Linked DNA regions of Drosophila melanogaster. The gene in region 2 interacts genetically with the main gene of each other region. Each region holds a gene or a part of one and is shown on either strand. Other genes may lie near its edges.

The links.
Region 1: of CBP (region 2) and Pka-R1, changing one enhances a phenotype caused by changing the other (phenotypic enhancement), as found in Drosophila melanogaster (one study listed by BioGRID).

The regions. Positions count from the first base shown.
Region 1 is NT_037436.4:20,817,358-20,822,010, forward strand, and holds the start of Pka-R1 (protein kinase, cAMP-dependent, regulatory subunit type 1), read left to right. Parts: upstream 1-1,607; 5' UTR 1,608-1,677; coding exon 1,678-2,112; intron 2,113-2,973; exon of another isoform or gene 2,974-3,366; coding exon of another isoform or gene 3,367-3,369; intron 3,370-4,653. Other genes in the region: Mst77F (Male-specific transcript 77F), read right to left, coding at 1-177, 240-521.
Region 2 is NC_004354.4:7,335,798-7,343,238, reverse strand, and holds CBP (sarcoplasmic calcium-binding protein), read right to left. Parts: upstream 5,888-7,441; 5' UTR 5,524-5,887; coding exon 5,383-5,523; exon of another isoform or gene 4,989-5,382; intron 2,936-4,988; coding exon 2,723-2,935; intron 2,045-2,722; coding exon 1,736-2,044; intron 1,666-1,735; coding exon 1,432-1,665; coding exon of another isoform or gene 673-1,431; 3' UTR 508-672; downstream 1-507.

The sequences.
Region 1 (4,653 bases), on a different chromosome or scaffold from region 2:
CACCCTGGGCTTGGAACACTTGTTCTCCTTTCTTGGAGTGCAGCTATTGGAGCCACCGGCACCGAAGAAAGTGTCTGCGCAGCCACTTATTTCAGAGTGCATTCTGTGCTCGCCCTCACTAGAACGCTGAAGACTGCTCACACTGTTGGGCTCTACATGAAAAGTGTCCAATGGTTCCTGCGGAAGTGCATTACGATTGCATACATGTGCATTTCGTTTGTATTCGACACCTAACTTACCGCAGAATACTGGCATCGATGACGGAATGACATTTCGTTCCATCGGGTTTCAGCAGCCCGTCTTATCTCGTTATTCGAGTAATATTCTCCGTAGCGCTTCTTAAAGTCCCTCAGAAAATTAACAAAGCCAGACGATGAGGCGTATTCGTCCTCTGCCCTATTGATATCTTCTTCAATGTCGGAGGCGTCGGAATTAACATATTCAATTGATTTTTTATAGGTTTTCACTGATTTTGTTACTGCCACCTCCGGCTTGCTATCCTTTTGTTTCAGATTACTCATTTTGCAACCAATTCTTGCTCGACAGAAATTTTCACAAACAAATTTGTTACTCAGAATTATACAAAAAAAAATTATATATGTATAAAAAACTGTACTCAATTTTATCGAAATATTTTAGTTGTTCCTCGTTCAAAGGTAGTGTACTAACTGTTTGTATGCTGGCTTCAGCGTGGAGACCTGGAAATTGGATTTGAATGAAGGCTCAATTCTACTATGATCAAGAAAAAGTTCCTTTTTTCAAACCAAGTTGGCTGTTTTCAAAGTACATTTCGCAGATCGGCGCCATATTTCCATGGTTATTTTTGTATACTATATTCGTTCAAGATATTGTAGGAGAAAATGTTTAATGTTTCTTGATCAGTATCAGTCGAGCTGGCCATATTCGTCCGTCCGTGTGTCTTGAAAAAGGTTTTAATATTCTGTTTGCAATCCGACTAGCTGAGTAACGCGTATCTGATATTCACGAAATAGAATAGCGTACTTCCTTGTTTTCAATGAAATGAAATGAACAAATATTTTACAAAAGCAATACTAAATGTTATATTATAATCTGAACAAAATATGTAAGAAATACCAGAAATGTCGTTGGTGAGGGAAGGTGTTTAAATTATCCTGTGCGACTACGTTCCTTTCCGGGGTTTCAACCACTTGGTAAGCAACAAGCGGCATTTTGCTGGTTAATGCTGCCGCTTAAACGAAAATCAATACAACTTGCGGTCTATTTTCGAGCGGATTGTTAAAAAAAAAACCCATCCATAGGTGGATTTCCCAGCACGGATGCTTTATTTTCGGCTTCCTGCTTCGGAGAACTGTATTCCCTCTGTTCATTGTGAAGCTTTAAAGTTTATTTTGTGAGACAGGCTGCAGCAAAAGCTTGCAATGCTGCAATGTAAATAGAGCAGCGCACCTGTGGAGGTCCTTTCCACATCGTCCTGTTCCCCCTCTCACTTGCCAAGCGACTTTCCTTACCCCTTTTTCTCCCAACTTTGATTTTGAGTACGCCTGTGTGTGTGCGCCGGACTCTCTGGGGCAAGTTGCCTGTTGAATGCCGGACCCGCTGTCAGTTGGATTAGCATCCTGACGCCGTGCAGAAGCATCCTGCTTCCACCTAGTTCACTCCGTTCGTTTGCTTTTTATTTGTTTGCCTCCGCGCGCCATGGGCAACCAGTTGAGTGTGAACAGCATCCAGGATGCGGTCATCGATCGCTTCCGCTCGGTGGCTTTGACCACCGATGCCAACGGCGCCATGCGCATCCGTTCGTTTTCGGAGGGCGTGGTGGCCACCACCCACCATCATCATCAGCATCAGCAGAATCAGCAGCAGAGTCCCCATTGCAGTGGACGCGGCGGACGCATCCTGCGCGAAAGTAGCATCGATGGCGGGGTGGCCATGTTCGATGCTCTGCTCCGCGATGATCACGAACATCGGCTGAGCTTGGATGCAGTGCATCGCATGCGGCATGTTCGCACCTCCTGCACCACAATTCCCGAGGAGGATGCCGTCAGCGATCGCAGCCTGCAGATTCATCTCTCCACTCTGGCCCGCGAACGTGAACAGGAACTTGAGCTTGAGCGCCAGCGGGAACGCGAAGTAAGTTGGAAAGTCGGAAAAGTTTCCAATTTCCGGAAAACAGTAGGAAATCACTAGGAATTTGTGCTGAAAAGCTTTTGGCGGAAAAAAGATTTAAAGTGTGGGAGTGTGCGCATACTAGAAAGCTTTGAATCGTTTGAAATTGGTGTCTTGTTGATTCGATTTGTGACTACAAATCACGATGTCGTTAGTTCTAACACAAATAAAAACATGCAAAAAAATGTTTACCTTATTCCGCGAGCACCTAATACCCTACTTAGAATATAAAAATTTAATAAAATATGAAAAAGTTTGCTATGTTTTACGTTAAGGCCTTTTAATTCTTTCAAAATATCTTTCGTATCTGAAGAAAAAGAACGAACAGGAAGAAAATGTTCACATTTTATTTAAACATTATAAATTTATTTTTTGCAAAAAGGTAAATGGAAAGGGGTTAATTTTTGGGATACAGTAGAATATAGTAACCTAAACTATATACTAATTTAAAGAAAGTGCATTTCATAATGCCCCACGAGCTGCTTTTTGCGACAAAATGTCGAGTTTGCACTTGAAACTCGAAGGGAATTCTAACGAAATCAAAGCGCTCCCTTCGCTTTCCCTTTAGCACTTCTGGCCCTTTTCTCCCGTAAAAGCTTTTCCCTTTGCCAGGACTTGCGTCACAAGTGCGAGTGTATGTGTGTGAGGTGGTGGGCGGGTGTGCGAAAAACTTTACTTTTTGGCCAGTCGTATTTGTATGTATATATTTGTGTATATATAGAAAGGTTGCCTTCGCTGGGCGTGTTGGTGAAGGTCATCCTGTCGTCGTCGAGATTGTGTTTGTGTCTGGCTGCTAGAGTTTGCTTTCGTCCTTTCGTTTGTCTCAGTCACTTTTTGGCCACCGTCAGTTGCCCATCGTTGTTCCCAATTTTAGTTTTTTCGCCAACTTAACTGCTCAATTTACTAGTTACCATTCACCTTTTGCGGTCGTTACTTTTCGACTTTCTTGCCTGATTGATGGCCACGCGAATTCCGCTGCTCCGATCATCGAATTGTCCGGTTTAACGGTCGTGTTAATGCCGCTTTTACGGCTGTCATCGCTCCGTCCGGCGCTGTTTACGCCGGCTTCTGATTAACAGCGGAATCGTGCCAAAAACTACGCCGGACACTTTGTCCCCAGTGTCCGCCATAAAGTACAGACAAACAACAATCAATTGTGTTGGCCAAACGAGGTTGGAAAAGTGCCAAAGCGGAAGTGACAGGAACTCGACCAGCGAAATGGTGGGTAAAATTCGAAGTGTTAAATACGGTTAACTTGGTAAATATTTCGGAAAGAATTGGTTTCAATAGCGTTTTTATAGTGAGGAAGAGAAAGGGTCCCATTGCATTAACGCTTAAGAATCCTTAATCTTTAACATTCAAGTATTCATTCTTCTTCCGTTCCTTCATATTTCTATATTATCCCATTGAAAGGTATACAATTCTCATTTTTAGATATTTATTAGAACTCAAAGTTGTTAATAGTAATATTACTTTCCGATTATCGAATTGCCATCAAGGTATAACTGGATACATTTTTCTTCCAAGCTATATAAATAGTCTCCTTGAGGAAAAACAAATTGACAACATTTTTTTTTAATGAAAATCAACAATTTTAAATGAAATCAACACTCGTATTCTATCCAATCTGTTTGTTTCCTTCCAGAACGCAAAGCATTTAACATACAATTCCAATGAAAAATTTCCCCGAAATATGGCCTCGAATTATGCTCTGTTTACTTGATTAAATTGTTATTTTACTACCTTTTATTTCCTTTTTATGCACTCGCATCGCATTAAAACGATTTCTGTGATATTTTTAAGTGGGTCCGATGAAAGCAATTTATGAGCTCAAAGAAGCTGGGGTCGGAAAAATCGAATTTTTGAAATTTGAAAGCTGGAATCGTTTGCCCATTTTTTGCCCATGTTTGCCCACCAATTAGTTTTTTTTGCCCACGTCCAGTTTTTGAGATATGAATTTTCGAAAAAGTTCGAAAATTTTCGAAAATCAAAAATTTCGCTTTTTTCAAAATTTTTTTTTTTAAATCGCAATAACATCGTTTGCCCACGTTTGCCCACCCTTTAGAATTTTGAAAAAATTTATACTTTAGAAAATATAAGGCTTTTAAGTTTACCTCGGTCTAATCAGAGAGTAAATCGTTTGCCCATCTCTTAAAACCAAATATTATCAACAAAAAAGGTTTGCCCAACCATTATTATTAGTTTTTATCGTTTGCCCACCCTTTAAAAAACCTTTAACAAAAATTTTTTTTCGATTGCCCACATTTAAAATACACCCAATTTCGTTAGCCCACCTCTTTAAAATAAAAATTTCCAATAAAAAACGTTTGCCCACCATTTAAAAATAAATAATTTCGATTGCCCTGCGCTCTTTAAAACTAAATAATTTCGTTTGCCCATCCTTTAAAATTCATTTTTAACGTTTGCCCACCCTTTAAAAATAAATTATTTCGTTTGCCCACCCTTTAAAATTTGTTTTTTTCGTTTGCCCACTCTTAAAACTAA
Region 2 (7,441 bases):
ATATGTTACAACAAAATATGACACACCACTTATATGATGGAGATATATATTTATTCCTAGCATTTCATTAAAGTGTATAGTCTTTTAAAAATGTAGAGTAGAGTATTGGAAAAGTAGCTCAACCCGTCTTCTATTTTAGGTAACATTTTTTGTAGACTCGCAACATCCAGCTAAACACTTTTCAGTTGATATCGCAAATCCTTTTCGCTGGCGCTTACATAATGATATGTGGCCGCAGATGCCAAGGGAGGGAACATTTAAAAAAAATGCATTTAAAAATAAAATGAGAAGGAAGTAGCGTCTGCTGTTTGCCTTTCTCCATTGAATATTGAGAATATGAATTAAATATAAACCTGCAGCAGGATAATCATAAGCAAATCACTATATGCAATTAGGGAAATAGTTTAAACATAATAAACTAAAATCTATAAGTGGACAGAGTCGCAAAGATTTAGGAAAACCATTTTTGATCGCTTGATCACCCAATAATTGAAAATATATGCTCGTATTATTTATAGTATATTTAAAAATCATTTTTATTCCGTTATATCATGCTTGCTGTATTGTGTAATATATCAGTTAAACATAACTCTTAACTAGACAAAAAAAAAATAATCGATTATATGGTAAATAGGGTGACCGTGAATAGTATGTAGCTCCACTTTTCAGAGTTTATAAATGGTGCATTTGATCCTCGACCAGCTTTTTGGGCCTTCTCTTGCGGCGTTTTCTTGCCTTTCGTCGTAGGCGATCGAATTTCCGGATCCGGTCGCAAATGAAATGCTTGAGGTCATCGCCCTCGGCGGCCGATTGACGACTGCACGACATTGTGAATATTATTAGCGAGTTAAGGTAGACAAAAAATCTTATATCGTAGTCATCTAATGATGGTTTGCCCTTGGTTCGATGATTATTATTATTATTATCTTTCTGTCGGTCTTCCCTTTCCCGTTCCCGTTCCTTTTGATAATTACTAAAGTTGTGCTTGCGCAACTTGGAGGCGGGATACGTAGTGGGCGATGGATGGGGCTCAAAGGTCGAGCGCTGGCGCTTCGAACTGGACAAGTGTTGCCGAAAATAATCGTAAATGCTCATGTTCCTTATAACGATCGTGGTGGTGTTGCTAATGTTTATTAACGGTCCCGATTTATGAGGCGCCACATGCTGTAGATTTAGCCAACTGCCGCCTGCCGCCTGCACGCGAGTTGGCAACGAAGTGGCCACTATCTTATTGTAATTGTTATTGGCCAACATCGTTGTCGTATTCAATGTATAATGTAGCATTGGCTCATTGGTGTTATTGTTGCCGATGTTATGGCATCGGACGTTGTTGTGTTGATGGTTCTGATAATCTTGATTGTAGTAAGGATTTTTTTGTTGGGTTATTGTTGATTTGGTTGTATTGTAATCTACAGCAGTGACTGCAACCCGTCAATGATCAGCGACCAGCGGTCCCCAGAACATTTTCGATATCTTCGAGTCGTCCTCGGTTAAAAAGAACTGACGGCCCAAATGCACAAACTCCTTGAGCGACAATTGGCCATCGCCGTTCTTGTCTATCACAGCGAATGAAACGGCAGCATCGTCTTCGGTCAGTCCCAGACAACGGAAGAAGAGCTTGTATTGTTCGAGATCCAAATGGCCAGTGTGATCAAAGTCCACAGCCTAAGAAAAAAAAAACCGGAAAAATTATTTTTCTGTTTATCGATAATAGCAACTTAACAATGAAACTAACCTTAAACAAGTAGGGCAGGAAGCGACCGATGCGTTTGGCCATCTTCTTGTCGTTGAGACGATGGTGCAGATCGGTGAGGAACTGCTCGGCAGTTACCAGATTGTATGGGGTTATCTCCCCGAACTGCTCTTCCCAAGTATGCTTGATCACATCGTTGAATTCGGCAGCGACCTCTGGGGTCAAATGGCCCAGATCGCTAAAGCGTTTGGCCAGCAAACTAAAGTCGTCGAAGGACACGACGCCGTCGTGATTAACGTCCAAAATGCGGTGGAGAGTACGCATTTTGCGGCGCCAGAATGCTGAGTCGCCCTAAAAATGAGGAAAAATATACATATTAATTGGTTTGCCTTGCGATTTTATTTTAAATTTTAATTATATTTGATTTAAAACATTCACAGGGCGTGCTAAAAGCTTCTTAAACTCTAAAGCTCATTGCAATTCTGCAACCAAGCCTTTTGCTCTTTTCAAACTTTAAAAGGACTTGAAAAGTAAAAGCTTGAAAGCTTTGCAGGACTTGACTGTCCTTATTAAAATGCTTTTATTAACATCAGCTTATCTCATAGACGCGCAGCGACTGCTTGTGAGCTTTTAGAAGCTTTAACCAAAAGGCTTTGAAAGGACTTTAAGGAACTGCTTGATGGCAAGTATAGTCAGGATACAAGCAACTGCTTTAAGCTTCAATTCGCTTTTTTTGAGAAAGCTAAGATTTCGTATTAATAACCAAACAACAAAGCTTTGATCTTAAAACAGTCTGCACTCAAACCAGTTACTACTGTTAAATGGCCACTGTTAACCAGGTTACAATGTTGGACTATTTTTTAAATGCCGTAGAGCAGGTTCAAAAAACGACATTGAGCACGATAAACAAATTTCGAAACACGTTTCTCGGCCTGTCGAGCAAACACAATTGAAATTTCTCAGCCACGTGGACCGTGTGTTTTATGGATCTATTTAATGGATTATGCATTTCTCAAGCAGTTCACTCACCCGTTCGCTGCGCTTGGAATCCATTTTCTGGCGACGACGCTCGAACTCATCATCCGAGTCGGAATCGCTATCACTTTCCACCTCCCGTCGCAATTTGGCCGCTCCGGCCTTCTTTGAATATTGACGGACAGCCTGGACCACGGCAGTTGGCATTTGATGCCAAAGCAGTGAATGTGCTCCATGTCCACAGATAATGCCGCCAGATGCCAGGCGCTGAAATCAGAAAAAAAAAGGAAATTAGAAAAATGTGAAAATGCAAAATGTATTGGATAAGTTTCTCTATCATAATAATCATTTTGATTGTGCTTTAAAAAAAGAGATGCTAACGTGTCATTAATAATGTTACGCAATCATTATGCTATTGTTTTGTATTGTTTTTGTGTATATTTCGGTTTTCACAGCCCCATGCTGAATGCTCTTTTTGTTGTTGATATGGTTGCTAGACGCCCTTCGGTGTGTAAGCAATCATTATGTTTTTAATTACAACTCAGCGCACTGCTGTTTTCCTGTGTTGTTTTTGTTGTGCGTGTTATTTTCTCATTGTTAAGGTCAGTTCTGTTTACTCACAAAACAATTCTAAACCTGATTCGTCGTTATCTGTTTTTTTTTACGAGTTTTCCATCTTTGGTTCGCCTTAAAAGTGCCAAAGAGTGACTGTCAAAATGTATCTCAAAAAACTCGGTCTACAGTTTGAGAGGCGCTTGGTAATGGTAAAAAACCACGTGGCGATCATGTATGTAACGAATTTAAAAGAAGAAATTGTAAACCAGCAGGAAAATAGCTTCCAATATATATAAAATATATGTAAATATAGGACACGGTATTTTACACATATATAATACATTCAATGTCCTTTGCTGCCAACATTGCAACTTTGAAAATTAAAAAAGATAAATATTGATGCCAATAACCAGTTCGGAGAAAGGTTTTTTCCATCACCTGTGCCATTAGGAAAAGATAAAAAACAAAATTCGCTACTCTTTTAATTACAAGAAACCGAATTCTCTTGTAAACGTTTTGAATTTCAATGGCTCTCGATAAGAAAGAATCCAAGTACAGATGTTGCCAGCCACCGACGACGATGATATCATGCATCATACCATATAACATTATCATAAAGCCCGCACACTTATTGTATTGGACTGACTGCTTTGGGACCTTTTTTCGGTTCCAGTTGCTTCGTTTGGTTAAACGAACTTTGGATTGTTTCTGTTTTTCGGTGTTTTTTTTTTCGTAAACAAGTTTCTCCAAAATACGAATTAATGAATGCAAAAAACGGGCCTCCTTTCATTTGAATGTCTGCGCGTCTCGAAAATAAAGAGAAACACGTTTCGACCATAAGAAAATTAAACAAAAAACAATGCCAATGATTTATATGTGGAAGATGCAGAGAGTAAGAAGACGGCAAATAAAAATCAAAGTCGAGCAACAGGTCAATGTTAATTTAGCAGCAAACAAGAAGTAGAAAAATTGCGAATAAAATCACTTTAATCATTTCCTGTGATTCTAAAACTTCTTTTTCCGTGGCGGTTAGAGAAAAAGTAAAGGGAGGTGGGGTACTTTTGTTGTTATAATTTCCAATGCTTTTGCGCAAGATTTTCCTGCTACAGAATTTGCGCAGTTTTCCGACTTTCAAAATGAGGGGGTTGTTGTCGGTGAGAAGGGAAAACAAGCTTTCACCTGAATACACGGTGAAAAATACCAGTAAGTATTAATATTGGCTTAGCTGGTTAAATTAATGTATGTTGTGTCAACATAATATCATAAATTTCGTTTCAAAACCGAAACTTTTATGCAAATACTATTGGACGGTATTTTTAAAGCTAACAACATAGGAGTAAGATGAAACATGTTTATATATTAACTGAACTATTTTGTTGAATCTATTGATTCAATACCAACATTTCTTTGTGTGTAATTTCCACTTGTTTATCTTACTGTATCTTGTTTTATTTGTTTCATTGAGGGATATGCCTCTTTCGGCGCCGGGTTTTCAATTTCTTATTGATTGATTGAAGTGCTGCGCCCTTTAATGATTGATGTGCAAGAAATTTGCCAGCACCTAAACGTATTTTATAGTTAATCATCAATTGAAACCAAAAATCAGCAATATATAATGCTGCTGCTAACAACAATAAATTAATAATGCGGGAATGAAAAGTTAATAAAAATTAGAGAATTAATAATCCCAAACTCTCTTGTATTGCTAGAATTATAGTTGGGAATATCTATTAATATTAATCAAGAATTGAACTCGAGTTCTTACAGTTTCGAATGCACTGCTACAGTTTACTTAGCACTGGCCTCGTTTCGTGAACATTCCCGCTCCCAATTTTCATTCTCCACTTCCCTTGCTTGTCTGTATTCACCCCTCTTCCTCACTATTTACAGTTCTCCTTCCACCACTTACTGTTTTTCGAATTGCGATTCTATTTTTCTGCTTTGTTTTGAGTTTATATCATGCGGAACTGCTTTTTGGTTGGAACATCTTTTGTGGAACTGGTTTTAAACTCTTTATTTTATAACTGTTGCTTTTAAGTTTGTTTTAGGAACTGCTCTTTCCTGTCCGCTTTGTGATGCTAAGTTTTTCTAACTGCTTGTTTCTGTCAATTCAATTAGTAACCTTAACTACAATGCACTGAAAGAAAAGATGCACTTACGTGACAATCGCTGTGCGAAATGGGCGTGTTTGGGGGCGGGGAGGCATTCTGCTGCAGAACGCCGACAGTTGCGGCCATGTTGCGTTCCAGAATTTCTCTTGAAGTGCGCAAAATACCACGGCTCACGATGGAGAATGCCATTTTGTTTTTCGCTCAAGTTTTAACCTCGGTTTTCTTAAATTTTTCCTCAATTTTCGCTACGTTTTCCTTACAGTTTGAACTGCACTCGAGAAAATGTGCAACGTTGCTTTTTTTTAGGGATTTTGTTGTTGAACTCTTGTTATTATTTCGATTGCAACGCGCATTTAACAACCGGTTTTTTCGAAGATGCACCACAAAAAAATGTTTGCCTTTATTTTTCTGCTTTGTTTTGTTACACTTTGTTTTTGAGTCCGCTAATTTCTATTTTGATTTCTCTGTGGTTTCAGTTTTTTTTTTTTTTGGATATCTTTGCTTGGGAGTAAACACAACCGTTCGCTTAAGCGTTCGAATTCGTTTTGAAAACCATCGCTGCGCAAAGAAAAGAAGTCGACGTCGACGCCTGTAAAAGCAGAGCGGTCTTTCTGAGTGTGTGTGAGCGGGAGTGCGCGTGTGTGTGTGTGGTTTTGTGTGATGAAGAGGGAGAGGACAGCATAAGAAGGGAGCAGGGAGAACAGCTGCTACTTGGAATGGTTACCACAAGCAGGCAGTACACACTATTGAAGCCAAAATATTAGTAGTTACATTTTCAAATGTTCACGAAATCAAACTTTGAGCTGCATTAATATACACATGCATATGTGTCGCAAGAATATTTTTGAATATGAGCGTTCCCAAATGTTAAAACCAGCTTTAAGAGATGCGGAGGAATTAGTATTTAAGTTTTTTAGTTCATATTTTTGCGCCCTTGGCTGTATATATGTAAGTACAAACACAAAGGCAAGACCATGTAAGCCGGTTGAAGAAGAAAATGGAGAGGAAGCAGGAGCACAAGAAGAAGCAAAAACAAACACAAAACCCAGTGATTGTCAAACCTCGCTTAAATGGAGAACTGTATTCGTTTTCAAAATAAAGCCCAAAGAAAATGCATTACATAAACATGGGATTACACACACATATACATACACGGACTACAGTTTTCCAATTGATAACGTAAACGAAGGAATCCAAAAACAAAAGCCAAAACTCAAAATGAAAATATCATAAAATGTGCGTATTTAGGTCGCTGCGTGTGACAAACTGTCGGTCCAATACAATATGCCCCAAGACACCCTTCCCCCCTCGCTACGCACTTCCCCGAAAAGTGCCCTCTACGCACACACATACAAATGAAGTAACACAAATACCTACGCACTAATAGTTTCTGTTTTTCCGTTGCTGTTCTACTTCATTGCTCCACAGCAAAACGCATGCTTACACCCACACGTGTGCGGTAAATATTATAGGATCATTACAACACTTTAAAACTAATAACATTAAAAGATCGTTTTCAGTTACATACCAATTAATTTCAAGCACTTGGCATTTTACCACCATTAAAGGTATCTTAAACTATTTTTTATAACCCAAATTGTCCAAAAGCATAATGCACTATGCTGATCATTCTTCGCAACGGAGCACTATTTCTAGTACCTTCACTGTGGACACCCATACATACACAGCTGTACATACGTGTAAGATTGTATAATAGTCTTGATCAAATAAGCGCCAGTGGACTTGGACCCAAAAAACATTGCATCGAAACGAAAACAAAAAAGAAACCATCGAAAAAATTAATAAGGGGGTAGTGATTCGGAATGGATATATCAGTGGCCGGCAAAAATTAAAGGGAATTATCAGCTCCACTAATTCCCTTTAATCTTGGTTCATTTTAATAGTTTTTACTGCCCATCAAGATCAATGCTTTCATAAATCCCCCATAGTTTTGCAAGCACTGGTTCCCCGCAAGAAGTGCAACACTTTACGTACAAAATAAAAAAAATCGAAGGCCCCCCACTTTACCGTTTCGAATGCGGCAAGCGGAGTGCACTGCACTCTGCGGAGGCAAAAACTTGAAAATACAGACGGAAAACCAAAACAT